5 linked regions of the Macaca fascicularis genome follow. The protein of the gene in region 3 purifies or fractionates together with the protein of the main gene of each other region. This does not show direct contact. Links are inferred from orthologs where the notes say so. Each region holds a gene or a part of one and is shown on either strand. Other genes may lie near its edges. The genes, in order: STK39, LGALS3, SLC12A6, CLGN and RAB6B.

Evidence for each region.
Region 1: the proteins of SLC12A6 (region 3) and STK39 purify together in Homo sapiens (affinity purification with mass spectrometry; 3 studies listed by BioGRID and IntAct, with this or other methods). This does not show direct contact. The link is inferred for Macaca fascicularis from reciprocal best matches to the Homo sapiens genes SLC12A6 and STK39.
Region 2: the proteins of SLC12A6 (region 3) and LGALS3 purify together in Homo sapiens (affinity purification with mass spectrometry; 3 studies listed by BioGRID and IntAct, counting the BioPlex papers as one, with this or other methods). This does not show direct contact. The link is inferred for Macaca fascicularis from reciprocal best matches to the Homo sapiens genes SLC12A6 and LGALS3.
Region 4: the proteins of SLC12A6 (region 3) and CLGN purify together in Homo sapiens (affinity purification with mass spectrometry; 3 studies listed by BioGRID and IntAct, with this or other methods). This does not show direct contact. The link is inferred for Macaca fascicularis from reciprocal best matches to the Homo sapiens genes SLC12A6 and CLGN.
Region 5: the proteins of SLC12A6 (region 3) and RAB6B purify together in Homo sapiens (affinity purification with mass spectrometry; 4 studies listed by BioGRID and IntAct, with this or other methods). This does not show direct contact. The link is inferred for Macaca fascicularis from reciprocal best matches to the Homo sapiens genes SLC12A6 and RAB6B.

What each region holds. Positions count from the first base shown.
Region 1 is NC_088386.1:63,713,007-63,718,495, forward strand, and holds part of STK39 (STE20/SPS1-related proline-alanine-rich protein kinase), read right to left. Parts: intron 4,483-5,489; coding exon 4,341-4,482; intron 2,572-4,340; coding exon 2,516-2,571; intron 1-2,515. UniProt on the Homo sapiens protein: Effector serine/threonine-protein kinase component of the WNK-SPAK/OSR1 kinase cascade, which is involved in various processes, such as ion transport, response to hypertonic stress and blood pressure.
Region 2 is NC_088381.1:122,988,333-122,994,297, reverse strand, and holds the start of LGALS3 (galectin-3), read right to left. Parts: upstream 3,890-5,965; 5' UTR 2,219-3,889; intron 1-2,218. UniProt on the Homo sapiens protein: Galactose-specific lectin which binds IgE. May mediate with the alpha-3, beta-1 integrin the stimulation by CSPG4 of endothelial cells migration.
Region 3 is NC_088381.1:10,527,459-10,532,947, reverse strand, and holds part of SLC12A6 (solute carrier family 12 member 6), read left to right. Parts: intron 1-1,773; coding exon 1,774-1,893; intron 1,894-2,185; exon of another isoform or gene 2,186-2,346; intron 2,347-2,654; coding exon 2,655-2,759; exon of another isoform or gene 2,760-2,809; intron 2,810-3,177; coding exon 3,178-3,346; intron 3,347-4,588; coding exon of another isoform or gene 4,589-4,624; exon of another isoform or gene 4,625-4,639; intron 4,640-4,706; coding exon 4,707-4,902; intron 4,903-5,477; coding exon 5,478-5,489.
Region 4 is NC_088379.1:145,555,820-145,561,308, reverse strand, and holds part of CLGN (calmegin), read left to right. Parts: intron 1-1,673; coding exon 1,674-1,747; intron 1,748-2,403; coding exon 2,404-2,462; intron 2,463-5,489. UniProt on the Homo sapiens protein: Functions during spermatogenesis as a chaperone for a range of client proteins that are important for sperm adhesion onto the egg zona pellucida and for subsequent penetration of the zona pellucida.
Region 5 is NC_088376.1:36,799,459-36,805,705, reverse strand, and holds the start of RAB6B (ras-related protein Rab-6B), read left to right. Parts: upstream 1-2,294; 5' UTR 2,295-2,644; coding exon 2,645-2,714; intron 2,715-6,247. UniProt on the Homo sapiens protein: The small GTPases Rab are key regulators of intracellular membrane trafficking, from the formation of transport vesicles to their fusion with membranes. Rabs cycle between active GTP-bound and inactive GDP-bound states.

The sequences.
Region 1 (5,489 bases), on a different chromosome or scaffold from region 3:
ATGTATTATTTGTCCAAGTAACAACAAAAAGGAACTATCTCACTCCTGCCATTGCTGAGTCTCCACGTTCTACTCTTCCCCCCACCTCCTCTATCTCACCCACCGACAAGGATGCCAGCAAAAGATCCAGAGACTCCTGGTCCTCGTTTTTGTTCAGGCAGTGACCAAGTGCCTGACCAAGAAAGTCAATCCCCTATAAAATGAAGACAGCAGTAACACCTACCTTTCCAAGGACACATTAAAAATGCTTTAAGGCAATAACCTTATATTACAGTTAACACTTTAAAAATTCAAACTTTAAATACTGTGTTAGTTCGATGTTATGATCAGGTCAGAGAATATGGGTGAAATTAAATGGGAATTCCAGAAAGCAATAGTTCCAGAGAGGCCAAAGCTGTACATTTAGGTGCCTGTCAAGCAGCCCCCATACATCTGGAAAATGGCCATTCCAATTTCTGTTATTACACAAGCATGAAGTTGCATACTCAAAAAGATACCAAGGATGCCCCGGATGACTGGAACACAAAGTCCTCAGCACATGCCAGGCACAGAAAAGGCATAGCCCTCTCTACACTTCAATTCACTTAATTCCCACAACCACCCCACGCAGGGGCTTCCTGCCTGAGCCCTTCTGAACTCAGCAGCCCCCCGCAGTGCAGGCATGTATTGGGTCACAACAGACACCTCGGCAGTGAGGAAAAACCCAAAGGCCTGTGACAGAGGGAAAAAGTCAGGAGATCTTACCTCGGGGATTCCTACTGGGAAAAAGAAAAGGACAGTGTGTTCCAGAAGGCTCAGGAAGAGGCTCAGATCATTAATCTGACAAGAATAATGGGAAGAGATGACTGGCAGAAGACCAAGTAACAGAATAAGGCAGAGGTTGACCAGCCTTCACATTTCAAAGGCAGTTCACTATCTTGACCCTTTTTGTGAGAAATCATCATTTCATCATAAAACAGAAAATTAGTTGCACTTCCTTATCAGCTTAGAGCAAGATTAATGGCAAGTTAGCTTCCAAATTCCATAATTAATAAGTATCACCTTTTGATAAGTCATAAACTCTCCTCAGAGCTGAAGCTCTGGCAGGACAATTCCAGGTTCACATGATCTCCAGTCAGTGCAAGGGAGTATCAGTGTGATCCTCTTAGTCATAGTAACAGAAGTAACAGTAGTAACAGTAGCAACAGTAGTAGCAACAGCAGCCATGGTAAAACAGTAGTTATTGATATTTGCTGCATGCCTATTATGTGTCGGCCACTGTTGAGATCACTGGACCTTGATTTCACCAAAGAAGATGAAGTAGTTTATATTTTTACCCCTCTTTACGGAAACTGAGTCTTAAGAAGGTTTGGTAACTTGCCCAAGGTGGCAGAGCTACTAAGTGGTGGCCTCAGAATTGTGACCAAGTCAGCTGACACAGAGCCTGCACTCTGAACAACTAGTTAGTTTGGAGAGTTTGAAATTTTGGGGACTGGATAGTTTGAAATTTTTGCCCACAGATGTTTTTCAGCTGTTACTTGTTTAACTGAAGTACTTATTCAAACTGTCCCTAGCCTGTGGGATAAAGTCCACTCATCAGGACAAGATATGCACACACAAAGCACTAACTCAGATGGCTCAAGAACAAAATCCAGCATCCACGATGAGGAGAGGCACCAGAGTCAGGGGGTTGTCGGGGGTGGAGCAGCAGATGAATCAAGAATTGCCAAAGATTGATAATTATTGAAACCAGGTGATGGGTACAAGTGGGCTCATCTTCCTCTTCTCTGCAATGACAGGGTCAGTCCAGTATAGGGAAGGACTGTCTGGCCAAAAAATGCCAAGAACACCCCCTAAAGAAACCATGAAAGCTAAAAGGATTGCTGAGACAGACTTTCAACAACATGGGTAAAGCAAGAGTTAATATGGACGTGGCTACATCTTATCTCAGGCCTTTAAGGCTACTCTAGGGCCAATAACAAAATAGAGGCTTTGAACACGGAAGGTGCTCACCTGATATTGCGTGTTCATGCAACATTCATTCATTGCATCCCCAGTCTACCAGCTTTGTCAGGAATAGCCATGTTGGGTCAGAGTTAAGAACAAAACATGGCCCAGATTTTTAATGTTCACAATTCTTTCAGATACCTCTTAAGAAATAAATTAGTTTTTAATTGATGTGTATGATGCTTTAAATTTTCAAACCTATCGAAAAACGTTTTTACAAGTGCATTTCTTGAAGTTATCTGAGTATTACCATTATAAAATGTGAAAGGCAGAAAACATAGTAAAATTGAAAGTAAAATTGTTCTTTATCAAAAAGCTATGTACTAAAATGGTATTTTTCACAGGATGATCTAATGACTTATCAAAACAATAAAGAAAACATGTTATCCTTCAGACCCAAACATTCTGTAAGTATCATTCTTAAAAGAGATTACATGCATTTATTCATTTCTCAGGAATGATTCGACATGCCTTGAAACTGTAACACTTCTGTAATCAAGTAAAAAAAATTTCTATTTATCAGTTTTACCTGCTATTTGTACTGAACCATCCTCACCCAGAAGAATATTACCAGCTTTCAAATCCCTATTAGAAAAAAAAAATAGAAAATAAATTGTAGGGTACAGACTTTATAGTGTATTGATTCACTCAGGAAGATTTTAAAACATATCATACAATGTAGCTCTTTAACATAATAATTTCATAAACATTAAGATTATATCACAGATTTTAAAGGTTAAAAGGATAGGCTGGGCATGGTGGTTCACACCTGTAATCCCAGCACTTTGGGAGGCCAAGGCGGGTGGAGCACCTAAGATCAGGAGTTTGAGACCAGCCTGGCCAACATGGTGGAACCCCATCTCTACTAAAAATACAAAAATTAGTTGGGCGCAGTGGCAAGTGGCTGTAATCCCAGCTACTTGGGAGACTCAGGCAGGAGAATCACTTGAACCCGGGCCAAGACCACGCCACTGCACTCCAGCCTAGGCAACAAGAGTGAAACTCAGTCTCCAAAAAAAAAAAAAAAGGTGTAAGGATTCAACTGTCATTTTATAGTTTACTCCTGGGGGAGAGTTAGCATTTTAGAAAGAAATATTTTCTATGAAATAATTATCCAAATTTAATTAAATCTTCAGTAAGTAGACTCTCTATTTTATGCTTCAGAGTTAGAGACTGCCCAAAAACTCACACTACTGTCATTCTATCAAGTATTAAAGCCCAGTCTATGTAAAGCTCCTCCACTTCCACTTCAATTTGGGGTGCAATTCCAAGTTAATTCTCTTTCTGAAAAATGAACTTCTCTCCTCTGGTGAGAGACTGATTATAAATACTAATTATTATATAGTATATTTCTTCACCATATAAAACCTGTGTAATCTTAGTACTTTGAAAAACGACAATTTGCAATTTATAAGTTTGATTTCTAAAGTAATTTTTTTTCTAATTATTGAAAAATATAGGCCAGCTACAGTGGCTCACGCCTGTAATCCCAGCACTTTGGGAGGCCGAGGCGGGCAGATCACCTGAGGTCAAGAGTGGGAGTCCAGCCTGGCCAACATAGTGAAACCCCATCTCTACTAAAAATATGAAAATTAGCCAGGCATGGTGGCAAGTGCCTGTAATCCCAGTCACTCAGGAGGCTGAGTCAGGAGAATCACTTGAACTCGGGAGGCAGAGGTTGCAATGAGCTGAGATCATGCCACTGCACTCCAGCCTGGGCAACAGAGCAAGACTCTGTCTCAAAAAAAAAAAAAAAAAGAAAAAAGAAAAATATAGTAGAAATAATTAAATATAAATTTCAGGGTAGGAGAATTACATTATTAGTATTATGGGTAGATGGCTATTTACTTGCAATAATTCCTAAGAGCCCAAGTAGCACTAACTCACTTGAAACATCAAGTACTCCTATTCTATGTGATTTGACTATATAAAGAATTAACATTTTATGTCACAAAAGATGTGTGCCTCCTCCTTCCCTCTCACCACCACATCAAAAATAATTCACATATTACAATGTTTGGATAGTCTTGCTTGTATTAGAAAGATAGAGGTGCTATCTAGTTCAATTAGTATAATTCAACAGTAGTTACCAAGACTGATTTTTTAAAATGAGTCCATGTGTCCTTTTTATATTCCACTCTTATTTCAGTGAAAGCCACTGAAGCAATCCTCAAGGATACCAATATAATTCATCAAAATGTATTCACTTGTTTCTTTCTTAAGTATTTTTTTCCCATCTATTTAGCCTAAGTTAATGTCAATACCTGCCTGCAACATGTGTTTCCTTAACATTCTTTATAAACTAGGGCTGAAGATATGAACAGCTCATTTAAACATTTCTGCAGGGGTCATACCTGTGAATCTGACCATTTCTGTGTAGATAGTCTAAGCCTTCCAAAACTTCTTTAAGAATTGTTGCTATTATTGCCTCTTCCAGAACTCCGTTCTTGTGTTCTCCTCGGTTGACAATGTATTTTATGATATCCAACATTGAACCTAAGTAGACAAACAGAAGAATTATCACCTTCATCACCTTTTCAGAACAAGACTCCATTATGTATAAAATGTGATGGAAACATCAAAATATGGGCTTTGTTTATTTAATGCAAATATTCACAAGGCAAACAAACAATTGAATGACAGCCCCATGACCAAAAACACTAAATCCAAGTTTGCAAGAGCACTTTCAGTGTGAATTTAATGAGAAGGATTCTGGGTCAGGAACCAGAAGGCTGTTCATGGCCATTCCATGGTTGGTTCCTTTTCCCTAGAAATACTGGTTACAGCATTTCTCACAAAAATTCCTAAGAGCAACCCTCCAAAGAGGGTGCAAAAAGTCTGAACTGACAAAGAAAGGAGTATGAGGCCAGGAGAAAAGGCAGAAGCGAACTGCTGAGAGAAAAAACCCCACTCTCTGAGGACCTAAATCATAGTTGGGAGGGGGAAAGAAGGATGTTGTTTCTAGACCTCTGTTTATAACCAGAAGATTCCTTCCTGTGACACTGCATGATCTTTATTTTCTCTCCTTCTTTTTCTTTTTTCATTTGAGAAAGAGTCTGCCTCTGTCATGTAAGCTGGAGAGCAGTGGAGCAATCACAGCTCACTGCAGCCTCAACTTCCCAGGCTCAAGCGATCCTCCCACCTCAGCCTCCCAAGCAGCTGGGACTACAAGTACATGCCACCACGTCTGGCTAATTTTTCTATTTTTTGCAGAGATGGGGTTTCACCATGTTGCCCATGATGGTCTTGAACTTCTGGGCTTGAGAGATCTGCCCACCTCAGCCTCCCAAAGTGCTGGGCTTATAGGCATAAGCCACTGCACCCGGCTGATCTTTATTTCATTTACCTTATATATTTGAGGCACTAACACTTACAGTAAACAAACAAATACCTAGTACTTTGTTACCATATACAGATTAGTATCCTTGGCACTGTGAATTCATGTTTCAACACATATTAATTAGTATTCCAAACCCCTGGGTCAGTTTAAAAGCCAAAATTAC
Region 2 (5,965 bases), about 110 Mb from region 3:
TCTCTGACTAACTCATCTGTAACTACATAACACACTGAAATTGTAAACAAAATTTAAAAAGGATTGTGTTTTGGTCAGAAAACTAACTGGGTGATTCATTCAAGCACAAAATAATATTGAATATTTAATACAAGAATGCCATTTTGTGTAGTCACTTTGCTAATTATAACCATATTTTAACCAATAAAGTGTACTTTCCAAAAATTGGGTATGTACGGTTTTGATTATGTCAACTTCCAACCATGAGATTTCTTTTTTGAAAAGCATTATAGGCCGGACGCAGTGGCTCACACCTGTAATCCCAGCACTTTGGGAGGCCAAGGCGGGAGGATCATGAGGTCAGGAGTTCGAGACCAGCCTAGCCAACATAGTGAAACCCCATCTCTACTAAAAATACAAAGAATTAGCCAGCTGTGGTGGCAGGCACCTGTAATCCCAGCTACTAGGGAGGCTGAGGCAGGAGAATTGCTTGAACCCGGGAGGCAGAGGTTGCAGTGAGCCAAGATGGCACCACTGCACTCCAGCCTGGAAGACAGTGCAAGGCTCCATCTCAAGAAAAAGAGGAAAAAAAAAAAAAAAAGCATTATAACTGATGCTCTTTTGAAATCAAGATTATTAACCTCAAAACTTCCAGGAAAACAAAAAAAGACATCTATTCAGATAAATATCATCCTTACTTGCCTGAAAATTTTTTTCGTTTTTCTTTTCAGATGAGTAGTTTACAGAGAGAGACATACAATCAAATGTCAGAAATCCTCCCACTCTACAGACACTATAGATATGTGAACCCCATCCTGGTGTTTCCAGGATCAGATAATTTTGAAGAGTCAGAGGGAAAAAAAAAAAAAAAAACACTTCAAAAAATAAACTAGAAGTAGAGAAATACTAGCTGGGTCTCCACATTTGTAAACACCTACAGTAAGCAGTTCAGTGTAGCTTTGGAATAAGGAATTTAAACATGAGTTAGAATACAGACCATTTTAATCAGTTAACTGGTAGCTTTTCCCTTTAACAAAGCGTAGCTGCGCTATGCTATTCTAGGCCCACCCAGCAATCAGTCTGGTTGTCTGGGTTCCCAGGAACACTTCTGAAATTTCTGCTCATAAAGGTCCCTGACCTGTACGCAAGCTGTAACGGAAGAAGACTGTTTCCTGAGCCCCTAGGCACTGCCCCACACTGCTCCTCAAGTAGCACAAGAGGCAGTCTACTTTCTGTCCTTGCTGAAACACAGAGCAGGACTTGAGGAAAGCCCATTTTCCAAAGACAAATTCAGTGATGCTAAGTTGGAATAAAGAGAACTGGTCCTTTCCTAGGATTTCTTTCTCATCATAGCTCCCTGGCATCAAGGAAGGTAGAGTTACTTTCTGCTTCTCAGTGACTGATTTTTTCCCGCTATGGAAAAGCTGAACAGGGGTCAAAAGAGAACACATGACACTTAGTCAATAGCGAACTGGAAGTATACAGCAAGCACTGCCTAGCCTGGCTCTCAAGTTACCCACTCAGAATTTAATGAGAAGATCAGTTCAGGCACCAGACACAAGGAGCTACCCTTGAGTGGGAGCCTGTGTCCCAAACGACAGGAAAGAAGAGCTATGTTTGAGATCAGTTACCGCAAGTATCAAGTACGTAAGTTTACAAGTCACTTGGCATTTAAGGTCAACACGAGATTCTGAAGGCATACTACATGAACATAGGTCTCGGCTGCAGTTAAGGTTTATAGTCTGGCTAATGAAAGTTCTATGTAAAAAGGTACCTAAATTATACATGAGACCAGCATTAGCCTCTTGACCTCACTAAGTGAAAAGTCTTTATAAAGCACCTATGCATATTTGTAGCACAGCGAACTATCATAGATTAAAGACCTCTTAACAGAGCAAGACACCTATTCTACTTGGACACAACTAGTTTTCAGGGTCAATCCATCAGGCGGTACTCGTCCTCTTGTGCTTCTTACGTAACTTTTGAGGCATCCTCCTAGCACTTCTAAGTGCTAAATATTCAAGGACCATCATCAAACTTCTCCCCAGAATCTGGACTAAGTGCTGATTTTAAATGTCACCTCTAAATATGAATTTAGGAAGCTGCTTAAATCCCCCAAAGATCAAGGATGGGGTATGATCATCCCTAGAATGAGAGACCCTACCCTAAGGATTTAGAGTCAATGTCTAAAAGGGAGACCATTGTTGGAGAAAAGTAAATAATCATTATTCAACTTTACCTTTCGTGGAAACACACAATTTCCTAGCATGAAATGTTTATAAACTTGAGGTAGGCCAGGCGCAGTGGCTCAGGCCTGTAATCCCAGCACTTTAGGAGGCCGAGGCGGGTGGGTCACCTGAGGTCAGGAGTTCGAGACCAGCCTGATCAACATGGAGAGACACCCCCATCACCACCACCACCATCACTAAAAATACAAAATTAGCCGGGCATGGTGGCGCATGCCTGTAATCCCAGCTACTCGGGAGGCTGAGGCAGGAGAATTGCTTGAATCCAGTAGGCGGAGGTTGCAGTGAGCCGAGATCGTGCCATTGCCTGGGCAACAAGAGTGAAACTGCGTCTCAAAAAAACAAACAAAAAACACAAAAAACAAAAACCTTGAAGTAAACAAATCAGAACTTTGGAAGCTGACGACAGCTTTTTCTTCTCAAGCTCTGTGCCCAAGTGGTTCATTGTATCAGCCTCATTTTCTTCAGAATTAACTGAGCCTTCTCCCATTCCTTTCCCACAATCCTAGAAACAGCCTGGGTCACTGAGGTCCAGGTGTCCTCATTGTGCAGCAACCCAACTCCCAGAGTCACTTTACAAACATTCCGCAGTCTCTGGAATCGGCATGGCTAACTTGAAGGGTAAGACTGAGGCCTAAGTCCCAGCCTCCACCATGCGTCCCCGATTCCCTGGCCCTTAGTGCCTACTTCTCAGAGGGCAATCGTTTTAGTGTTTCTATTTGAGCACCCAATAATTCAGAATAAACTCTCAAACATGTTTTGGGAGTCCCCCGCTAGGGCTCTGCACACTAGGACCAACATTCTGCCACACCCAACACTTCCTCGGCACAGACAGTCTGGGCAGGGAAGGGCATTTGATTCGGAAAAGCTTAAGAGTTTGCAGTCTTCGCTAAGCCGGGTCATGCCCACTCAGGCCATGGGGCAAGCACCATTTCTGTGGGATTAGCAACCAGAGAGCGGCTGCAGCCCGGCCGCAGCTGGTCCTCGTGGAAGAACTCATTCGCGCCCCACAGAGAGATCTCCTCCGAGTCCAGCCTCAGCTGATGCTCAAAAGGGGCCGGGCGAGCCAAGCTGTGGGTTCCGGGAGGCGCCCTATGCAGTCCTCAGAAGTCCCTTCGCTCCCCCGCGGCCGAGCTCTGGGGAAGGGTTACCCGGCCCCAACCCCAGTTAGAGAAACTGGAGCGGCCGTCTGGTTTGCTGAGCGAGTCCCTCCGCCTCCCCTCGCAGCGGGACCTGGCAGGACTGGGGTGACCAGACCGCGGCTCTTCACCGGATGGGGCTTACTCCGGGGCCGCAGAGCGCAGCCGGCGGAGGTGCGACGGCGGTGAAGCCCCCGAGGCTCCGCAGAAGGTGGCCCGTGCCGCCGCGGGGACGTGTGTGGGTCTCGGAAGGCGCTGCCAACCTTTCCCGAGCGCCAGCGCCCTCAAGAATCAAAGGCGACCGCCCCGGGCCCGCCGCCCCGCACCCGGAGGGCAGAGCACAGGCTGTGGGGCTCTCCGCGCGCGTCCCGGCCTGGTCCCGGGGAGCCGAACCCCTCCGAGCCGCGCCCTAAGCAGCGCCCGGGCGCACTCACCCCTGCCCGGCCGGAGCCGCGTCCCCAGCGCCCCGCGCCGCTCACCGCTCGTTGGCTGGTTCCGGACGGCTGCTAACGAGGAGGTGCGGGCGCCGGCGGGGCGGTGGCTCCGAGCCTCAAATACTCCCAGCGCCGCCCGGCCCGCCTCTCCCGAGGCGGGGCGGCTCCCCTGCCCAGCCCAGCCTCTCCCCGGACCATGCTGGGCGAGCCCCGCGTCCGCCTGACACCCCGCGCCGCCGCCGCAGGGGCGACCAGGAAGCTCCCGACGGGCAGAGCGCGGGCTGAGGGGCGCGCCCTCTGCCACCACCGTTCGGTTCCGTGGCGCTCCGGGGGCCTGGGCTGCGGCCGCGTCTCTCCCCCGCCCTCTCCAGAATCACCTGAGTGAAGAATTCACTGAGGGGAATTCAATTAATAGGTTGCTTTATTTGTAGAATACAAAACCAAAAACCTTTTCAATGTCTATTGCCTAGGGAACTGACTACAAATTGACTACTTATTCTAGATCAATAGGCCTAGTCTCAAAGCAATTCCCTTATGAAGCAATTAGACAACTCTTTAACACATTTTGCACAGGAAATTCACATTATATATATATATCCTCCTTTTAACTTCACCTTATGTTTTCGTTGGAAGAAAGAGATAAGTATTATTATCTCATTTTTACTCTCAGGGTGCTATAGTCTGAATGTTTATATCCCGCCAAAGTTCATATGTTGAAATCCTAACCCTCATGGTGATGTGTTAGGAGGTGGAGGCCTTGCGAAGTGATTGGGTCATACGGGCAGGGTCCTTATGAATGAGATCGGTGCCCTAATAAAAGAGGCCGGAGAGAGACCCCTTGCCACTTCCACCATGTGAAGACACAGCCGGAAGGCGCCCTCTGTGAACCAGAAAGCAGGCCCTCACCAGACACCAAATCTGCTGGCCTGGGGATTTCCCGACCTTCAGAACTGTGGGAAATAAATGTATATTATCTATAAGCTACCCAGTTTATGATATTTTGTTACAGAAGCCCAAACAGACTAAAAGAGAAAATGATTTACTTATCCAAGCTCACTCATGTCTAGGAACAAAATCCAGAAATCCTGACTCTTAAACTTTATCTGGAAAAGCACCAGGTCAAAGAATCCTTGCAGGCCAAAACAAGGATCTCTGAGGAAAAAAAAAAAATTAAGGGGGGTAAGGGAAGAATCTTTGCAGGAACCGGCTTATGTAACCTATGGAGAAAACCAGTTATCATCTGGTTCCTAAATAATTCCTGTAGCCCTTATAGTAACCAATTAATAACATAAAGATAAATTATTTCCTGCAGTTTTTCAGCTTAGGGATATGTTCCTGTAAGGGACTCACTTGATGGAATTGAGAAGCTGTCTTGGCATTCTCTAGGATAAATTTGAAAGTGTCTTAGTGGCTGGCACTGTTCCTGCAACATTGTCCCCTCTAGGCTTGCACATAGAAGTCACAGTGTGGCTGGGGATTATTTAATGAAAATGTGAACTCTTACCTGAAGACGTGGCCTGGCAACCAATTTATTTGAATAGATCACCATAGTAAATGACTAACCTCTGGGTAATAAAAAGGTGTCACCCACAGGAATGCCCTTGGTCTCCAAGGAAAATGCTATAAATCTTAAGACTTTGAGTCATGAGGCCTCATGGCCAGGCGTGGTACCCTTAGAGGGTTAGCCATTGGTAATAAAAAAAAAAAAAAAGTAGATAGCCAAATGAATTGCTGTGGAGGCAAAGGAAGAAACACACTCTTGCCTTTTCTTCTGGTCATTTCGGAGATAGACGAAGTTCATGCCCTGGCTACTTAGGGGGCTTGCTTACACCTGATTGTATGATCAGACATCCTTTTGGCTTCACTTCCTTACTTGTGCATCCCCATGAATACTTTGGTGCCAACTTCATGCCCCATAAAGCTAACAAAAGGATCCTGATATGATCAAGGTGTGCCTGGGAATTTATAATTTGTACACATGCAATAAACAGCTCTTTATTACCCAATCCAAAGTCATATACCTCTTCTAAGATAAGCGAAAAAGAAACCTAATAAAATCAATTAAAATATCATTGAGTAACTTCTATGTACAGATCACTGTGTTATTTGAAATAAGGCACAAGGCAGTGTTAGCCCTCAAACAAATAGGCTGGCTGGTTTCTACTGA
Region 3 (5,489 bases):
AATGGGACTAATAAATCTAAAGTGCTTGTCGTAGTGCCTGGTACATAGTAAAGCTCAGCTCTCGATGAACTGTTGCTGCTGCTGCTGTTGTAGTTAAGTCTCCCCAGTCCTGAAGGGGTTGTCATGAAAGATTTTTGGCTACCATCCCATATCTGTCCTCTCATAGCTAAGAGCTCATTAATTATGTCCCGTATGTACCCACTGCTACATTCTTCTTTGCTAACTTTCTCCTCGTTCCCTTTCTGTCTTCACTTACCAATGGTGGACAGTGATGTAACATTTATTGGGCAAAAATTAAAATCTTCAACTAAGTTTTAATGCCTCTGATCCTCTTTCTAGCTTTAATGTTAGTTAAAAGTTCTTCATGAGGCCGGGCGCACTGCCTCATGCCTGTAATCCCAGCACTTTGGGAGGCCAAGGCGGGCGGATCACCTGAGGTCAGGAGGTTGAGACCAGCCTGACCAACCTGGAGAAACCCCATCTCTATTAAAAATACAAAGGTAGCCGGGCGTGGTGGCGTATGCCTGTAATCCCAGTTACTCGAGAGGCTGAGGTAGGAGAATCATTTGGACTCGGGAGGCAGGGGTTGCAGTGAGCCGAGATTGCACCATTGCACTGCAGCCTGGGCAACAAGAGGGAAACTCCGTCTCAAAAAAAAAAAAAAGAAAGGTTCTGTATAACTTTGTTTGTTGCTATCTTGCCTCTATTTTTCTCTTTCTCTTTACCCTATATTTTCATTACATCCTAGTTTTCTCCAAATTAACACTCCTATTCATTCTTAAAAATTTATCACAGAGCTAAGAAGTTCATTCTGTACACAGAAAAACTTAAGTAAATATGGTTGTCTACCTAATTTGTGTGGTCAAAACAAGCAATTAATTCATTACCGTCTGCCAGGTTTCTCTTATGTACAGTCCAAAAATAATTTTTCTTTTTCTTTTTTTTTTTTTTTGAGACAGAGTTTCGCTCTGATGCCCAGGCTGGAGTACAGTGGTGCGATCTCGGCTCACTTCAAGCTCCGCCTCCTGGGCTCACGCCATTCTCTTGCCTCAGCCTCTTGAGTAGCTGGGACTACAGGCGCCCACCACCATTCCCGGCTAAGTTTTTGTATTTTTAGTAGAGACAGAGTTTCACCGTGTTAGCCAGGATGGTCTTGATCTCCTGACCTCGTGATCCACCCGTCTCGGCCTCCCAAAGTGCTGGGATTACAGCCGTGAGCCACCACGCCTAGCCCAAAAATAATTTTTCTCAGTGAGTTCTGCAGTTGTGCTAATAAATGTTTATAAACTTTTTAGAAATATTTATATGAAAATTTTCAAAAGATCCTAGAGTTATTAACATTTCTGGCTGTGTGTCCCATCCTGGCTTTGCCAAGTAAGTATTAATTGTCCTCATAACTGCAGGTGACTGATAGTGTTGTTATTTACTTAGTTTTCCAGCAGTTGGAAACATAACAGCAGCTGGTCTGTTGCAAAGGACAGTTTGGGATTTAGTGCACATCTACTGACTGTTTCATGATAAGACAACTGTAGAACTGAGAATAAGCATTTAGAAACTTTTGTGGCAGTGTGACATTGCTACAGCATCCAGGCATGTGATGATTTTTTGAATAATTCATTTTCATTGCATTTTATAAAAGTTATATTTATAATAGTTTCAAAGTTTTTAAAAAATAATCCCTCACTACAGATAGTTTGAGAAGCACCTCTAACAAAAGCTTCTTTTTCAGCTACTTTAAAAGATACTTTTTTGTATTTGTTTTTAATTTTCTAGGGCCCTTTCTTTCATGGGAATGAGTATCTGTCTGGCTCTGATGTTCATTTCTTCCTGGTATTATGCCATTGTAGCCATGGTAATAGCTGGTATGATCTACAAGTACATTGAGTACCAAGGGTGAGTGTGGATTTAATCTTGATCACTGCTAAAAGTAGCAAGACTAGCTAGTTTGGTTAGAGCCAGCTCAGTGAAAATACATTAAGGACCCAGGTAACTTCATTTTCATAACTATATTTTGTACCCCTAATTCTCTAACCGTCTTACTGATGCAAGCTTTTCATCACAAGGGAAATCCATTGAGAAAGTATGAATGGATCAATGGAAAATAACAAAGGACATATCCAAATAATAATGATTAGTACTAAACAAAGTATAACACAAATATAAATATTTTTGCTTATCTCTTCAGTCAAGGGATTGTCTCTGAAATGAAAAAGAAATTAGTTCTGAACAACTTTGTAACTACTAAGACTTACAACTTTCAAAAATGAGGACTCATTCATTCTTATTCAGAAGATCACATTGAACTTTACTTTCTCTGCATTATTTTCAAAGTAACTTAAACTCCAGGTCTGTTATAATTTTCTAATCTAAATTGCTCTTTTACATTATTGTTTTGAACAATTAGGTAGAAGGACTGAATGAGTGACCCCTTCAGGCTTTATTCTGAACTGTTTGTGCAGTGCAGTCTGTTGGTGCTGTTGATCTGCCTACATCGGGTTCATTATATTAGTAAAGAACATTATGTAAATCATTAATCTGAGCTTTAATCTTCTACCTTGCACATGTGTGATTTTTAGATTCAGAAAAAACTTTAGTTTTTAAAAGTATACTTACTATAGTTTAAATTTGTCTCTGCTCTTTTCTTTTTCTCACAGAGCGGAGAAAGAATGGGGTGATGGTATCCGTGGGCTGTCCCTCAGTGCAGCCCGGTTTGCTTTGCTTCGGTTGGAGGAGGGACCTCCACACACTAAAAACTGGAGGTAAAGAAATCAACACTAGCGGTATTTGGCACATAGTTAACACACAAAAATATGTGCTTTGTTGATTACAGGATAAGGAAACCATGTGGCTCAAGGAAATGGTATAATGGACCTCTTTTGAACTATTCTAAATCCTTAATTTTTTTATTCCCTTTTCTTCATGTCACTTATGAGCAAGATTTCTACAATTTATTATTCTTCACAATTTATTATTCTTCCTTGAAGACTGATCAACTCGAGATAGTACTGGGAGCGTTCAAACTAATACCCTCATCCTGTCATTTCCTGTGATTTCTTCCTTCTGTCAAATTACCTGTTTCATACAGATCTCCTGAATTACAGGGTGGAGTCTGTCATTCTGTTCCCCAAACCCAAAATGTTTTCTCCTCCTCTCCAACCCCCACCAACCTCTTCACAGGCCTCAGTTGCTTGTATTACTGAAACTAGATGAAGACTTACATGTCAAGCATCCTCGCCTCCTCACCTTTGCCTCACAGCTCAAAGCAGGAAAAGGTCTCACTATTGTGGGCTCTGTCATCGTGGGGAACTTTCTAGAGAACTACGGTGAAGCTTTAGCTGCTGAGCAGGTAAGAGTCAGACTTTGATGTATTGGAACTCAGCTTACAGCTTTGTGATGTTAAGTAGTAAGACCTCAAACTTCTACTTGAATCTTGTTCCTGAGTGATCTAGGAGGTTTCTCACTTAGTGCTGACCTTTGAACAGACACTTTCTCCCAAATAATAAGATGAGCCAGAAAATAGTTATTTATTCTTTCTTCCCATTTAAAGCATTACTAAATTATAAGATGATTAAATCTAAACATTATTTTCAAATATACTCTAAACATTAAGCACTGAGAAAAGTCATGTAAGTAAATTGATCCCTTGAACTATGGAGAGGGTTCCTCTCAATCTTGTGGCAACGAGTAATGACCAAATTTTCTTCCTCTTCAGTCTATGTGGCATCATGAGCAAGATTCCTTTGCCACTTCTGGTTAGCTGTACTGAACATTAAAGTTCTACTTTAACAAGGAAGTTGTTTTCACTCTAATATTTATTATATATGATAGAATTAATCCTGTTGTTTTTGAAATGCCATTGTGTTCAGTGTGTTCAATGGCATTTCAAAAGTCTTACTGGATTTCATTTTGGAATACTTTGAAATCCTAAACACTAGAAATGCTGAAGAAACATTACTCCAGAATGATGGTAAAAATTAATAAAAGGTACCCAGGATTGAAAATCATGAGATCCTAGTTGTCAGCCACATCACTGATTTAATCTGTGCCTTTGCAAAAGTCATTCCATTTTCCATACCGTTATTCCCTTCCTTTTCCCACCGAGAGGGTGGAGTAAGAGTAAATGCGATGATATCTCCAAATTGGTTTGACTAAAGGAAGAGTAATGCAAATACAAGTGTCATGAATAATCACCATTAAAATGTCAAAAAGCATATGGGAATGGGAGAAGCAAAAAAGAAAACATACCTGAGAAAATTCTAAAGTGAAACTGAATCATCATATTGAGTTTCTGGTAAGATGAGTCAGGGCATGACTGGGGCTGAGGCAGGAAGGAGATCTTGTTCACACTAGTGAATCACCCTGGTCAACTGGGAAAGAATGTTGAATATTCACTTTGTAGAGATCCCTGTTCCCAGTTTTTTGGTATGGTGCAAAGGAACAAAAGCAGAACAGAGGAAAAAGCAGAGAAACTACATGTAGACAACCAGCTACAGAGGCAAAAATATGTAGTAAGCACTTAGAAAGTGAAAAAGATAAAAGATCATGAAATTCCTTTGGGATAATTTTAACTTTTTGGACTTTTCTGTAGACGATACAGATTTATGAAGACTTTGGAAAAAGGTAGGGGATATAATACGGAGAAGGAATAATGGGTTAAAAGGTCCAGAGTGAACCACTTCAGTGTTGCGGTCCTGTGTCTCTTTCAGACCATAAAGCACCTAATGGAGGCAGAGAAGGTAAAAGGATTCTGCCAGCTGGTGGTGGCCGCCAAGCTGAGAGAGGGCATTTCCCACCTTATCCAGTCATGTGGCCTTGGGGGCATGAAGCACAACACAGTGGTGATGGGCTGGCCTAATGGCTGGCGTCAAAGTGAAGATGCCCGCGCTTGGAAGACTTTTATTGGTACTAACCATTTCTCATACAAACCTAAGGGCCTGAGTCGAGGGGATATAGTTAAATCTCTGTCACCCCCAGCCTCCTAAAAGAGATTATGCCATTGCTGAAGCATAGTCTTATAAGGCAACCTGAAAAACTACTAGTAGTCTGGTAGTAATACCAGATTCTACCTGTCCCCTTCAGCTTCACATCATGTTCATGAATTATTTATTTCTGTCAAGTCTTGTGCTAGGAATTATCTCCAAAATTGCCATGTTTTCATTTGTGATTTTCCATATTGATGTTCTCACAGAAATTGGAAGAATTGTTCTTCAGCATCATCATCTCCCAAATTCACATATCCCCCCTTAGAAATGTAGTAATCAGAATATACCCTGTAACATAAACTGTGGTTCTCAGTCTAATTCTGTTAGCTATTCAGATTTTTCACAATGATTTTTCTTATGTAATGAGATAGAATCTAAGTAAATAGGACCCCTTGCTCAAAGAAGTGTGAAGAGAGCATTTCCTTGCTTTCCTGACATGCTAGGAAGCAAGGCAAGCCTAAGGATTCTTCTCTGCTTATTCTTTTTTCTCCCTAGGCACAGTTCGAG
Region 4 (5,489 bases), on a different chromosome or scaffold from region 3:
AATCAGAAATATTTTTGATGGTGAGAAAGCATTAATTGTATTGTGCCAGCTACTGTTTGAAGGGCCAAAGGGAATAATATGTAGTTGTTACAGACTTCTTTACTTCATTTCCTCTTATTAAGAATTTTTCATTTGCAAATGTGTTATTTCACTGTCTAAGGTGAATAGTATGTTTCCCCTGTTAAATTTAAGCTCTGTAAGGACAATTTTTTAAAGCCTAGTTCTATAATCTGCAGAAAGTAAGTACTCCAAGTACTAATAATTACTGACTTAGATACAGTTACCACAGGATCTTTGAAGGTTAATATTAATACTTCAAAGAAATTGACAGGTAACTACCACTCTTGACTTATTTGGTGATACTTTGAGAATATGATAAGAAGTGGGAAAGAATTATTTTTGATGCTGCTAATTTTATAGCATGAGTAATCTACATAGGGTGAAGTATAAATAAAGGGCAAAATAAACTGATTTTAGGGGTGGCCTATCAGAAGGAAGTCTCTTGTGACACTGTTGCCCATTTTGTCAATCTATAAAAATACAGAGAACAGTAAAGTTGTAATTCAGTAAACTTCATAGAAGATTGGCAGTTTAGGTAGCTGAATCTTGACCCTGTCAGTAATTTGTGGAATTTTGTGTAATTACCGATTTTACCCCCTTAAATAGACAGGAAGTGTTTTACTATCAGGGTGGGATAGGGACAGTGAAAATAGAAAAAGTATTTCTGCACCCTTTTCCCTAAAGCCTAATGGAAGAAATCTCACTAGTCATACAGATACAATCACAACAGGCTGATTCTGAGAGGATCCAGACTAACCTATTACTGTGGGCAAATTTTTATTTATTGGTCCTCAGTTTAAATTATCTTTTGATAGTTTATCAGTCTTTACTCTTTTAAATTATTTTGTTGGTAAATTCTGTATCATGTAGTAAAAATGCATGAGCTTTGGAATCAGACAGTTTTGGCTTTATATATAAGTCCTACAATTATCTAACTGGACAGCAGTAAGCAAGTTACTTTGTCTGTCCCAATTTCATCATATATAAAGAGGGCACAAATGGTACTTCCCCCATAGGAATATTATAAGAATTAAAGGAGCCACTATATCACCAGCAATACCACTGCCACCGTCATCATTATTGCCACCCTAACAGCTAACACTTCAAAGGCACTTGAAACAATGCTTTGTTGATCATTGTTTTGCAATGCTATCTCCATAGAATCTTTTCATTCTCTGGGTTCCTAATCTTGTAAAATTATATTATTATATTTTAGGGTACCTAACAGTAAAACTTAAGAGTTAATTTTAAAAGCCTATGTGCTTACTAAGCTCTACATCTTATATGCTTTTCATTATGCTATTTCCTTTGCTCCCAAAGAGTTTTATCCACAAATATTGTCACTTGTCAGAGTCCCTTTGTTCCTTCTGTGTTAGAAGGGGTCAGTGTATCCACTGTTTGTATGTATAGTATTTTTGTCATCATGGTATTTCTTATATTTTCTTGTACCTTATCATTACTAGGATACAAAGTTTTGTACAGGTATGGGTTTGTCACCTCATATCTGTATTACCTGTATGTGCATTGCATACTATGTTCTTCACTAGGAAGATTATTTAATTGAAATATTTGTGAAAATGAATAACTTTAGACTTGGAAAATCTCTTTTCTAGATTAAATATAAGACACCTCAACCTATAGGAGAAGTATATTTTGCAGAAACTTTTGATAGTGGAAGGTTGGCTGGGTGAGTATTCATTCAAGAGAATGTTTTGATTTATTAGCTTTTTTGAAGTTATTAGGTTTTGACCTGTGAAAATTACCTCTATTACAGATCTAAAAAAAAAATTAAAGTAGTTTAATTGACAATGTAAATCAGTACTTAGTATATTTTTGTAATTGATAGAATGTTTAATTTGAATAGTTATTTATTCAAAGAAAATATACTAATTCTGAATGTAAAGATGAAATTTATCATATGTATTCATTCTGTAGGACAGATATTAACACTCTTTAAGTTCAGATGACAAATATGAGTACTGTTCTATTACAATAATGGAAAAAACAAAAATTAATATTAAAATTATTATGTGTCAGATGTCCTAAAAAGAAATAGATAATTACCATATTTAATCCCCATTTTACAAGTGAAGAAACCGAGGCTCCTTGTACCTTACCTGTGATCATACAGTTAGGAAATTATAGATTCCAAATTCGGTTTAACTCTAGTCCTCCAGGATTATGTGGTGAAGGCATCCTTATTTAGCATCTAAGTATGAATTTATTGTTGAATGAAAAGTGACTGTATTGGGTGATCTTTTGTTGTGTTTCTGTATGCATTATATCTATAAGTTGCTGATTTTATTGTTAATGACATATATGTATGTTCAACTTTGTTTACAGATGGGTCTTATCAAAAGCAAAGAAAGATGACATGGATGAGGAGATTTCGATATACGATGGTAAAATATTTAAGTATTAGATATAACCGCTATGGCCTGGAGTTCACTAACTTTTGAGATTATATTTTTGTTAAATGGTGTTGGCTGGAGTCCCCCATGCTGCCTCGCAATAAAATGTTCAGTCTTTTATCTTGTCCCTTTTCAATATTTCTGAAAACCCCTTTGCTATTTCTGAAAATCTCACTCCTAATCCAGTTAATCTAGTTTTCTAACTGAACAGTTGAATTTTCATTCTACTGCTGGTTAGTCTTTTGCATTTCCTGAAGCAGTATTTCCCAGGCTACTGTTGTCTCTATGGTTTCATCTCAAGCCTAGACACACCTAGATCAAATTATAATTTATGGTAAGATTCTCCTAGCAAGTAAAAAGCAGAGGATAACTAATGAGAGCTACAAGATATGTGGCTACTTCTGGAATCCTCATCTCCAGGCCTATATCCATTATCATAGGGTGTCTAATAGGATTATCTTCAGTCTTAGCTCTAGAAAGAAATGTCCTATAGGCAGGGGTCATATTGTCTTCCGTAACAGGACTACCTTAGAGTATAACCAACTATTTTCTTCTTTGTGATCTAAAAACCAGCCTCCTTGATTGTTATATGCTGAATCACGATCGGCCTCTTCTCACAGTGACTGATAGTGGTAATGTCTTCTTTCTCAGAGGACCTCATACTCATAAACATGTGACCTTGCGCTCAGACCCCAATAAGCAGTTACATCACAACAGCAAAACAGATAGTATGTTGGATGTCAGCTGTCTGATTCCTTTTCATAGTTTCTGTTTAGTGTAAGATAAAGGTCATACCTACATGTCTTCCTTTGCATCGTGTTCGCCATCCCAGCAAATCCCCTGTGCATGCATACACACACACACACATATATGTGTGTGTATGTGTATATATGTCTATATGCTTATCTAGTCCAAAAAGGACACCACCTCATATGCACAGAAAAAGCAGTAGAAGCAGTAGTGGGATTGCTGGACAAATAGTAGATCTGCTTTCAGTTTTTTAATAAATCTCCATGCTGTTTTCCATAGAGGCTATATTAATTTACATTGCACCAGCAGTATATAAATGTTCCCTTTTCACCACATCCATGCCAATTGTTTTTTGACTTTTTAATAATGGCCATTCTTACAGGGGTAATGTAGTATCTCATTGTGGTTTTAATATGCATTTCCTTGATGATTAGTTATGTTGAGCATTTTCTAAGCATGTTCATTGGCCATTTCTGTATCTTCTTTTGAGAAATGTCTATTTATGTCATTTGCCTACTTTTTGATGGGATTAATTTTTTTCTTACTGATTTGTTTGAGTCTCTTGATTCTGGATACTAGTCCTTTGTCAGATTCACAGGTTATTAATATTTTCTCCCACTCTGTGGGTTGTCTGCTTACTCTGATGATTATTTCTTTTGCTGTGCAGAAGTTTTTTAGTTTAATTAGGTCCCATTTATTTATTTTCATTTTTGTTGCATTTGCTTTTAGGTTCTTTGTCCTGAATTTTTTGCCTAAGTCAATGTCTAGAAGAGTTTTTCTGGTGTTCTAGAATTTTTATGGTTTCAGATCTTAGGTTTAAGTCTTTAATCCATCTTGAGTTGATTTTTGTATAAGGTGACAGGTAAGGGTCCAGTTTCATTCTTCCACATGTGGCTTGCCAGTTTTCTCAGTACCATTTATTAAATAGGGTGTCCTTTCCCTAATTTATGTTTTTGTGTGCTTGGTCAAAGATCAGTTAGTTGTAAGTATTTTGCTTTATTTCTGGTTCTCTATTCTCTTCCAGTGGTCTGTGTGTCTACTTGAGACCATTACCATGCTATTTTGATAATATGTCCTTGTATAATTTGAAGTCAGGTAATGTGATACCTCCAGATTTGTTCTTTTTGCTTAGGATTACTTTGGCTCTTCAGGCTCTTTTTTGGTTCCATATGAACTTTTGGATTTTTTTCCTAATTCTGTGAAAAATGTTGTTGGTATTTTGATAGGAATTGCATTGAATCTATAGATGACTTTCTGCAGAATGATCATTTTCAAGATATTGATTCTTCCAGTCCATGAGCATGGGATGTGTTTCCATTTGTGTCATCTATGATTTTTTTTCAGCAGTATTTTGTAGTTCTCCTTATATAGATCTTTCACTTCTGTTAGGAATATTCCTAGGGATTTTATTTATTTATTTTTTTTTTTTGCAGCTATTGTAAAAGTTATTGAGTTCTTGATTTGATTTTCAGTTTGGTCGTTGTTGCTATGTAGCAGTACTACTGATTTGTGTACATTGATTTTGTAACCTGAGACTTTTATTGAATTCATTTATCAAGTCTAGTAGTCTATTGGATGAGTCTTCAGGGTTTTCTAGGTATGCGATCATATCATTAGCAAACAGTGATAGCTTGACTTCCTCATTTCCAATTTATATGTCCTTTATTTCTTTCTCTTGCCAGATTGCTCTGGCTAGGACTTCCAGATAAAGTTGTTACTTCTTAAAATAAGACCTTTATAGCAGGCGAGGGGCAAACTACAAGTTAGTGATAATACAATTCACCATCAATGTGAGAGAAAGAAAACCAAGTACCTTTATCTTTTTCACAAAAAATAATATGACCAAATTGGGGGGGGGGGGTGGTGAAGAAAAGAAACTTGGAAACTTAATAAAAACACACACATTTTTAAAAGTCTAAAAATGTATGTACAATTATAGACCAAAAATTAGCCCTCTTTGATTTATAAGATTGTGTCTGGTTCTTGCATTATTTTTCTTAGAAAGAAAACAAAAGGATATAAGAGCATATGTAATTCAAAAATGCTCATTAATAAATATTTTGAGTTGACACAATACTGGAAAATAGCCAGTTTTTGCTGAATTGAATTTTCTTGGAATAGGCAATACTTATAATTTTCAAAACACAAGATTTTACACAAATTAATATGAGTTGATTTTCTATTCTAAAACCGGTAAAGGAGTAAAGTCTAACACATAACTTTTGGGCTACAGGTAGCCCACCTAGCTTTGCATTGTATGTGGCCCAT
Region 5 (6,247 bases), on a different chromosome or scaffold from region 3:
AAGATTTTTTAAAAATGGAACACACAGATGCTATTTGGAAGAAACTCTTTCTAGTGAGGTTGCCAAGCTGAGGTTTAGTGGCAACATCTTCCACCTGGAGAAAGCCTGTCTGCTCTAGGGCAGGTTAAGGACAAGACCCAAAATCAAGAGAGACAATCAATGATAGTTGGAGGAGAGAGACTTGGAGCAGAGCAAACTTGGAGTCTCTACGGCTCTCATTTCCACAGCATGATGACTGCATTCTGAGACAATGCCAGTATCTGCTCCAGCTACATAAGCCAGCCCAGTAGTCGGAGCCGGGTTTTTGTCATTTGAACTGGCAGATTATGACAGAGTCCCCCAAGGTAAGCTGGACCATAATTAGCCCAGCTGGACCTGGTAAGCATATGGGATGACTTGGAGGCTTAGAGGTGCCCAGAGGGGCCCTGCCCCAAACTTCCCTCCCCTACTGCCATACCACCTTATATATGCAGGACCAGATGATCAGAGGAGGTACAGGACTTGCCAAGGCTTACCCAAAAGATGCTGCCTTTTCTGGCACACCTCAGCTGCTTTGTCTTGCCACCGATGATCTCCTCAGGTCAGGATGAGAAGGTACAGGGAGACAGCACCAGATGTTAGGAGAAGGTGCAGGTTGGAGGAGTGTTGCATGGCTGGGTACCTTGGCCAGTAGCTCCCTGGCCCTTCTTTGGAGGGATCACTTACAGAGACAGAACAGGCTGTGACTTGGGAGTCTCCTCTCCTTCTAGAGCTTTCTTCAGCCCTAAGCTGGATATGGTCTCCTAAGAGAGCAGGAGCCCCAAAGAAGTGGGTGGGCGTCTGGAGGGTTACCCTGAGCCTGGTGCCAGCCACAATGGGGCAGATATTCTAGGTGATGACTTACAACCCTTGACGTTCCAAACTAAAGGTGATTATGAGAATAGGAGTTATTTTGATTTGAGTTCTAGATGTTCATTGGAACATTCAACAACTATTTCTTAAACTCTGAGCTATGTCCTCAGGACGACTGCTTTTATGGAACTTGCGGGCAAGTTTTTAACAAGAAATAGAAGAGAGATTCGAGGTGAGCACACCAGGGAGACAGACAGGCTTGCCCAAGCAAGCCCCATCAGTCAAAAAGTGGGTAACAAGTGTCCGAGAAATCTGGAGATGAAGGTTGTGTCTCACTCCTCTTTCTCTTTGTATAACACATGCGTGCACACACCATCGTGTTCACCAACATGCAGACTATTATCTCAAATAAATGCTCACTGAACAGCCATAAACGAACAAGACCGCGCTGTGGCAGAAGAGTAAGGGGCAGCTTTGTCAAACCTCAATTAACCAGCATGCCTTAGGCTCGGGCTGTCCTGGGAGTGTTTCTAGCGCTTGGCTTCTGCTCTTTGCTCTTACCCACTCACAGCTTGGTCTGCGTGCCTTGATGGACCAGGCGAGTAGAGGCCAAGGAGAGGTCACCCACGTGTCCTCAGAGAGCTCATTGTCCAGATACACGTAATTGCCAGGGTGGGGAGTGGCGTTGTCAGCCTGGCGACCCCAGGATCAAGAAACGCAGGGCACTGCACTGTCCTGGAGATAGTGGCACTGGCATTCAGAGTGTCACCGTTCCTTCTCTCCCATGGGGCAGGTTATGATTTAGCATAAAATGATCCAAATGAACAGCTGGTTTGAGGTAGGCGCGCCCTATATTGGCAGCTCTTCTCTCGCTGGCCAGGTCTGCGGGGGCACCCACAGACCCCACAAGAGGCCGCCCAAATAAACGGTCTAGGCCTCAAGAGGGGAGGGCGGGCTAGAAGCCACACGGGGCAAGAGTCGAGCTCCATCTGCGCCAAGTACGCCAGGTTTCCCTAGGTCTGCCCGCCCTGAAGCGCCTCGCCACACCCTGGCTCTCCCCCACCTTCGTTCCTTTCCGCCCTGTCGGACGACTGCGCTGTGCATCGGTGTCTCGCGAGGTGGAGAAAGGGACTGGCATCTAGGTTTAAAAGACCAGAAACAAAAGTCCCCTGACAATTTCGTGTCATTTTCTGGATCGAAAGAGGGGTAGAGTGAGAAAGACGCAGCGGGGCAGTGAGAGACGGTCCGACCCGGGGGCCTCTCAGGGGTACAGCGAGGAGGTTCTCTCCTGCCCGGGTGCGGACTCGGGTGGGCGGGCGCACGCCCCCCAGCCCCGCAGCGCCGCGGGCCCCGCATGACATCAGAGGCTGGGGAGAGCGCAGAGCGCAGGCGCCGGCAGAGGAGGGAGGCGGGAGGGGGCCGACTGGCGCGGCTCTAGAGAGCGCTCCTCCGCCCCGCGCGCCGTCCCTGCGCGCCGTCCCTGCGCCCCGCTCCGCCCGCGCCTCTCTCCCCACGCCGCGCCTCGGGCGTAAAGAGCGCGCCCCTCGCACCGCAGCCAGTGCCGCCCGCAGCAGCCCAGCCCCAGCCTTCCTCCGCCTACTCCTCCCTCTCCTCCTCCTCCGCCGCCGCCGCCGCCGCCGGACACGCAGCCGCAGGCCGGGGCCGGGACGCAGCTGGGGAGTCAGGGACGCGCACAGCCAGCCCTTCCCCCTCCGGCTCCCGCACCGCCGGCCGCCTCCCCTCGCCCTCCTCCTCTCCCCTCCCTGCTCCTTCGCTTTTTCCTCCTCCTCTCCCGGCCCCGGCTGCCACCACCATGTCCGCAGGGGGAGATTTTGGGAATCCACTGAGAAAATTCAAGTTGGTGTTCCTAGGGGAGCAGAGCGGTAAGTACCCGGCTTAATCTCTTGGCTTGTCGCCGAGTCGACCCCCGTCGCCCAAGCGCCCACCCCATTGGGACCACCGGCCGCGGCTCGGAAAGGCCTCTCCGTGTCAGGATAGAGGAGAGGGACAGGGATGGGGAGGTCGGGGCCGGCTCGGGCGGGGTCGGACTGGGGAGGGGCCAAGGGTGAGGACGGAGGAGGTGCTGGCGCCCGGGGTGGAGGTGAGGGTGGGCTCTGGGTGGGGGGCCCGGGGTGCGGGTGCAGGTGCGGCGCCGCAGGGAGCTCGGAGGGCGGCGGCTGGCTCCGCCGCGCGGACCAGGGCGTGAAGGACCCGGGCTCGCTGGCTAGCTCACACTGCGGCACCGGCTGCGGGCGACCGCGCAGGTGGCTGGGTGCTGCCGGGGGTGGGGAGAGCGACGGGCGCCCCCCTTGGAGAACGAAGCGAAACTGGGGTCTGGCCGACCCCCACTCCGCTGCACTGGAGGGGGGTTCCCTGCGGACTCTGCCGGTAACCATGCGAAAGGGCACGTCCAGGCGCTGGGACAAATAGCCACCGGGGAGAAAAGACCGGCACCTGTCTCTGTTCCAAAGAGCGAGTGCAGGCCATGAGGGAACGGGGCGCCTACCTCCCCTATCTCACGTCCGACTGGGCACAGAAGGTTCTAGACCCGGTGCCCTTCGCCAGCGCTCGGTAGCCTCCTTGCTGTTCAGGGGTCTTGGCAATGACAGTGAAGGCTACCCCAACTCGAGGCGATCTGGGGAATGATACAGGGGCAGCTCACACCGAGAGGCTGTGAAGTCTGGCTCTGGGCAGAGAAAGGCCCAGGCGACACGCCCTGCCTTGCTTCCCAGCACTCCTCCTGAGAGCATCGGTGGATTCTTCCCACCCCCACCTCCCAGCTCACCGCCCTTCTTGGGGGAGGGGAGGTCACCGTGGCAGCCGGCCAGAGCTGGGGGAGGGGGAGACTGCTTCTCTGCTGCCTGGCTCCCTCCCCAGGAAAACATCTCTGAAAACCAGCTTGGTCCCGAGGCGGGAAGCCCAGATTGAAGAGCAGGGACCCCTCTGCCACCTGTAGGAAGGAGTGGCTTTCGGAGCATCCTTCCAGAGGCCTCTCGAATGGGGCTGCAGGGAGACAAACTGAGCTCTGGTCAGCTCTGCTCTGGGAGAAGGCTGTCCTTGCCGAGCAGGACCCCAGAAGGCTGTCCTTGTCGGGCAGGACCCCAGCTCTGGCTCTGCAGACCCTCTCTGACAAGGGGGTCCAAAAGAAAGGCAACTGTGGGAGGATTGGGTGGGCCATGAACAGTGCTACCGTGCTGTGTGTACATGAGGGTTATGGAGGTCATGTGACTGGCCCCTGTCTGCTGATGCTCATTGCCTGAGATGGATGATTCAGAGAAGGACGTTAGAAGGTAGTGTCCAGGCCCAATATGGAGATGGGTTTGGGGGCCAGGTTGGGTGTTTCAGAAGATCCTCTCAGCCAGCCAGCATTTGCCTTGGATTCTGATTGCCTGTTTTAGTAGATCCCAGTTTCATGGAGCTGACCATTCCCTGTGTCTGGAAGGGATTTTGGTGGTGTTCACATCCCAGTGCTAGTCTCACCGGGCCTGGAGCCCTGGGAGATAACCTGTGGGGATCAGGCAGCCTGGGAGTTGAATTCTTAGCTGTGTTGCCTTTAGTAAAATTTGAGGCCTCTCTGTGACTCACTTTCTGTCTCTGAAAAATGGTTGCTTGAAGACAATTCTTTTACTTCTTCATGTTTCCTTAGTGCCTCTCAAAGTGCCTGGACCCTGGTAGGTTCTCAACAAACATTTGATTATTCTAAGTCTGCAAAAGCTTTAGAAAGGACTAGGAGTTTGGTGAATAAAGTGTCTCTGGTGAATTTCAGGGAACATCTGGGCTCCCTCAGAATTCCTGATGAACAGAGACCCCTGCTGGGCTCCACAGACCCCCTTTGCTCCCAGAAGCACAGAAATGATAGCTGAAGTCTAAGAAATGAACCCACCACCTCTCCCACATGTTCAAATGGGAAGTCTGAGCCCCAGGGAACAGGGAGGCCTTGCCCAGAGTCCCAGAGTCCCATTGTGAGTTGCTAATACTTCTGGGCTGGAGCCTCACCTCTCGTTTCCAGTCCAATATTTTTCACTAGCGTGTCATTGTGAAGTAAGATGACCTTGAATTGGGGAAGCCAACAACTGGGGAGCCTCCCCAAGAGGGAGTTGGGTTGCTTCTGTACGGCCAGGCTTATAGCTGGGGCCTGTGACTGATAGGAATGCTGAGTAGTTGGTCAGGAGCAGGGTTGTGGGCCCTTGGAACATGGTCATTAGAGAATCACTGCTGTCGGTGAGATGGCTACTGGCATCTCACCTGGTGCCTTCTGTCAGGGAGTTCCAAGGCCCCAAAAAGCCTGTTTCCTGTTTCCACTTTGTTGCATCGTTAGTGGGTTGTTTTAGGTTTTACAGAGCTTTTGAGTTAGGTAGGGGACATGTGCGTCTCTAAGCCTTATGGGATGGGGAGTCACCTCCACAGCCGCTTCTTCTACCTTGCCTGCACAGTTTTGCATCTGTTGGTCATTTGTGCCAGCATTCTCTGCAGCCTGTGCAGTGGAGAGAGCCTCCTGAGGGCTGGCCCTCATGCTGGCCCTGGCTCTTTTTATATGACCTCAGAGTTCCTTTACCTTCTGTACATGGGGGACTTGGGCCCGCTGAGCTCAGCAGAATCTTTCAGAGCAACATGGGCTTGCCGATATGAGCCGAGTCCCCTGGAGATGGGCCAGGGGAAGGAGCTAGAGGGATGTGGCTTTATCTTATTTCCTGTGCCTAGCATAATGGTGACTTTTCTCTAGGCTGGTGGGCAACGGCAGTGGATTTCCAAGAAGAGCGGCGTGCATGGACCAGGGGGTGGAGCACACCCTGGGTCAGATAATCCCGGCTGGACATCAGGTCTTTAAAGATATCAGGGAACTGGTTTAAATGGGAGGCCCTTGAGAAGCCGCTCTGGAGGAAATACCTCAAGCCAGTGAAAGAGCCCCCTCCTGGCAGCTGTCCCCCTGGCCCGTGGAATATAGGCTGGGATTGTGGGGAGGGTGCTCTGGGTCCAGGGTGAGAGATTTTCTTGTGGCAGGGAGGCTGTGCAGTCCCACTGGTGCCAAATGGTTCTCTGGGCCACTGGATATGCCCTTTTGCTGATGGCAGTGGTAGGAGACATGGGGGGTGACATACATCAGTCCCAACTGGGGCATTTGATGGCGTCCGAGAAGACAAGAAGGAGCAGGTGTCTGAGGAAGGAGAGTGGGCCTGTGGGACCCACATCTTCCTCCTAAGCTCTAATGGCATTCTGTCGGCTTTTAGGCCTCACTGGGTACATCTCAGTGTGTGTGGTGGGAAGGGAGGGTCAGGGATGTGTCTGTTATGCACTGTCTTCTGACCTCCCCTTCCCCAAGACTCTTCCAGCGAAAGCAGGAGGATTGGATGGAGATGTAAAAGCTCTGTCTGCTTTCCTAGCTGAGGCCAGCAGGCCAGTTTCTCGCTCTGACCAG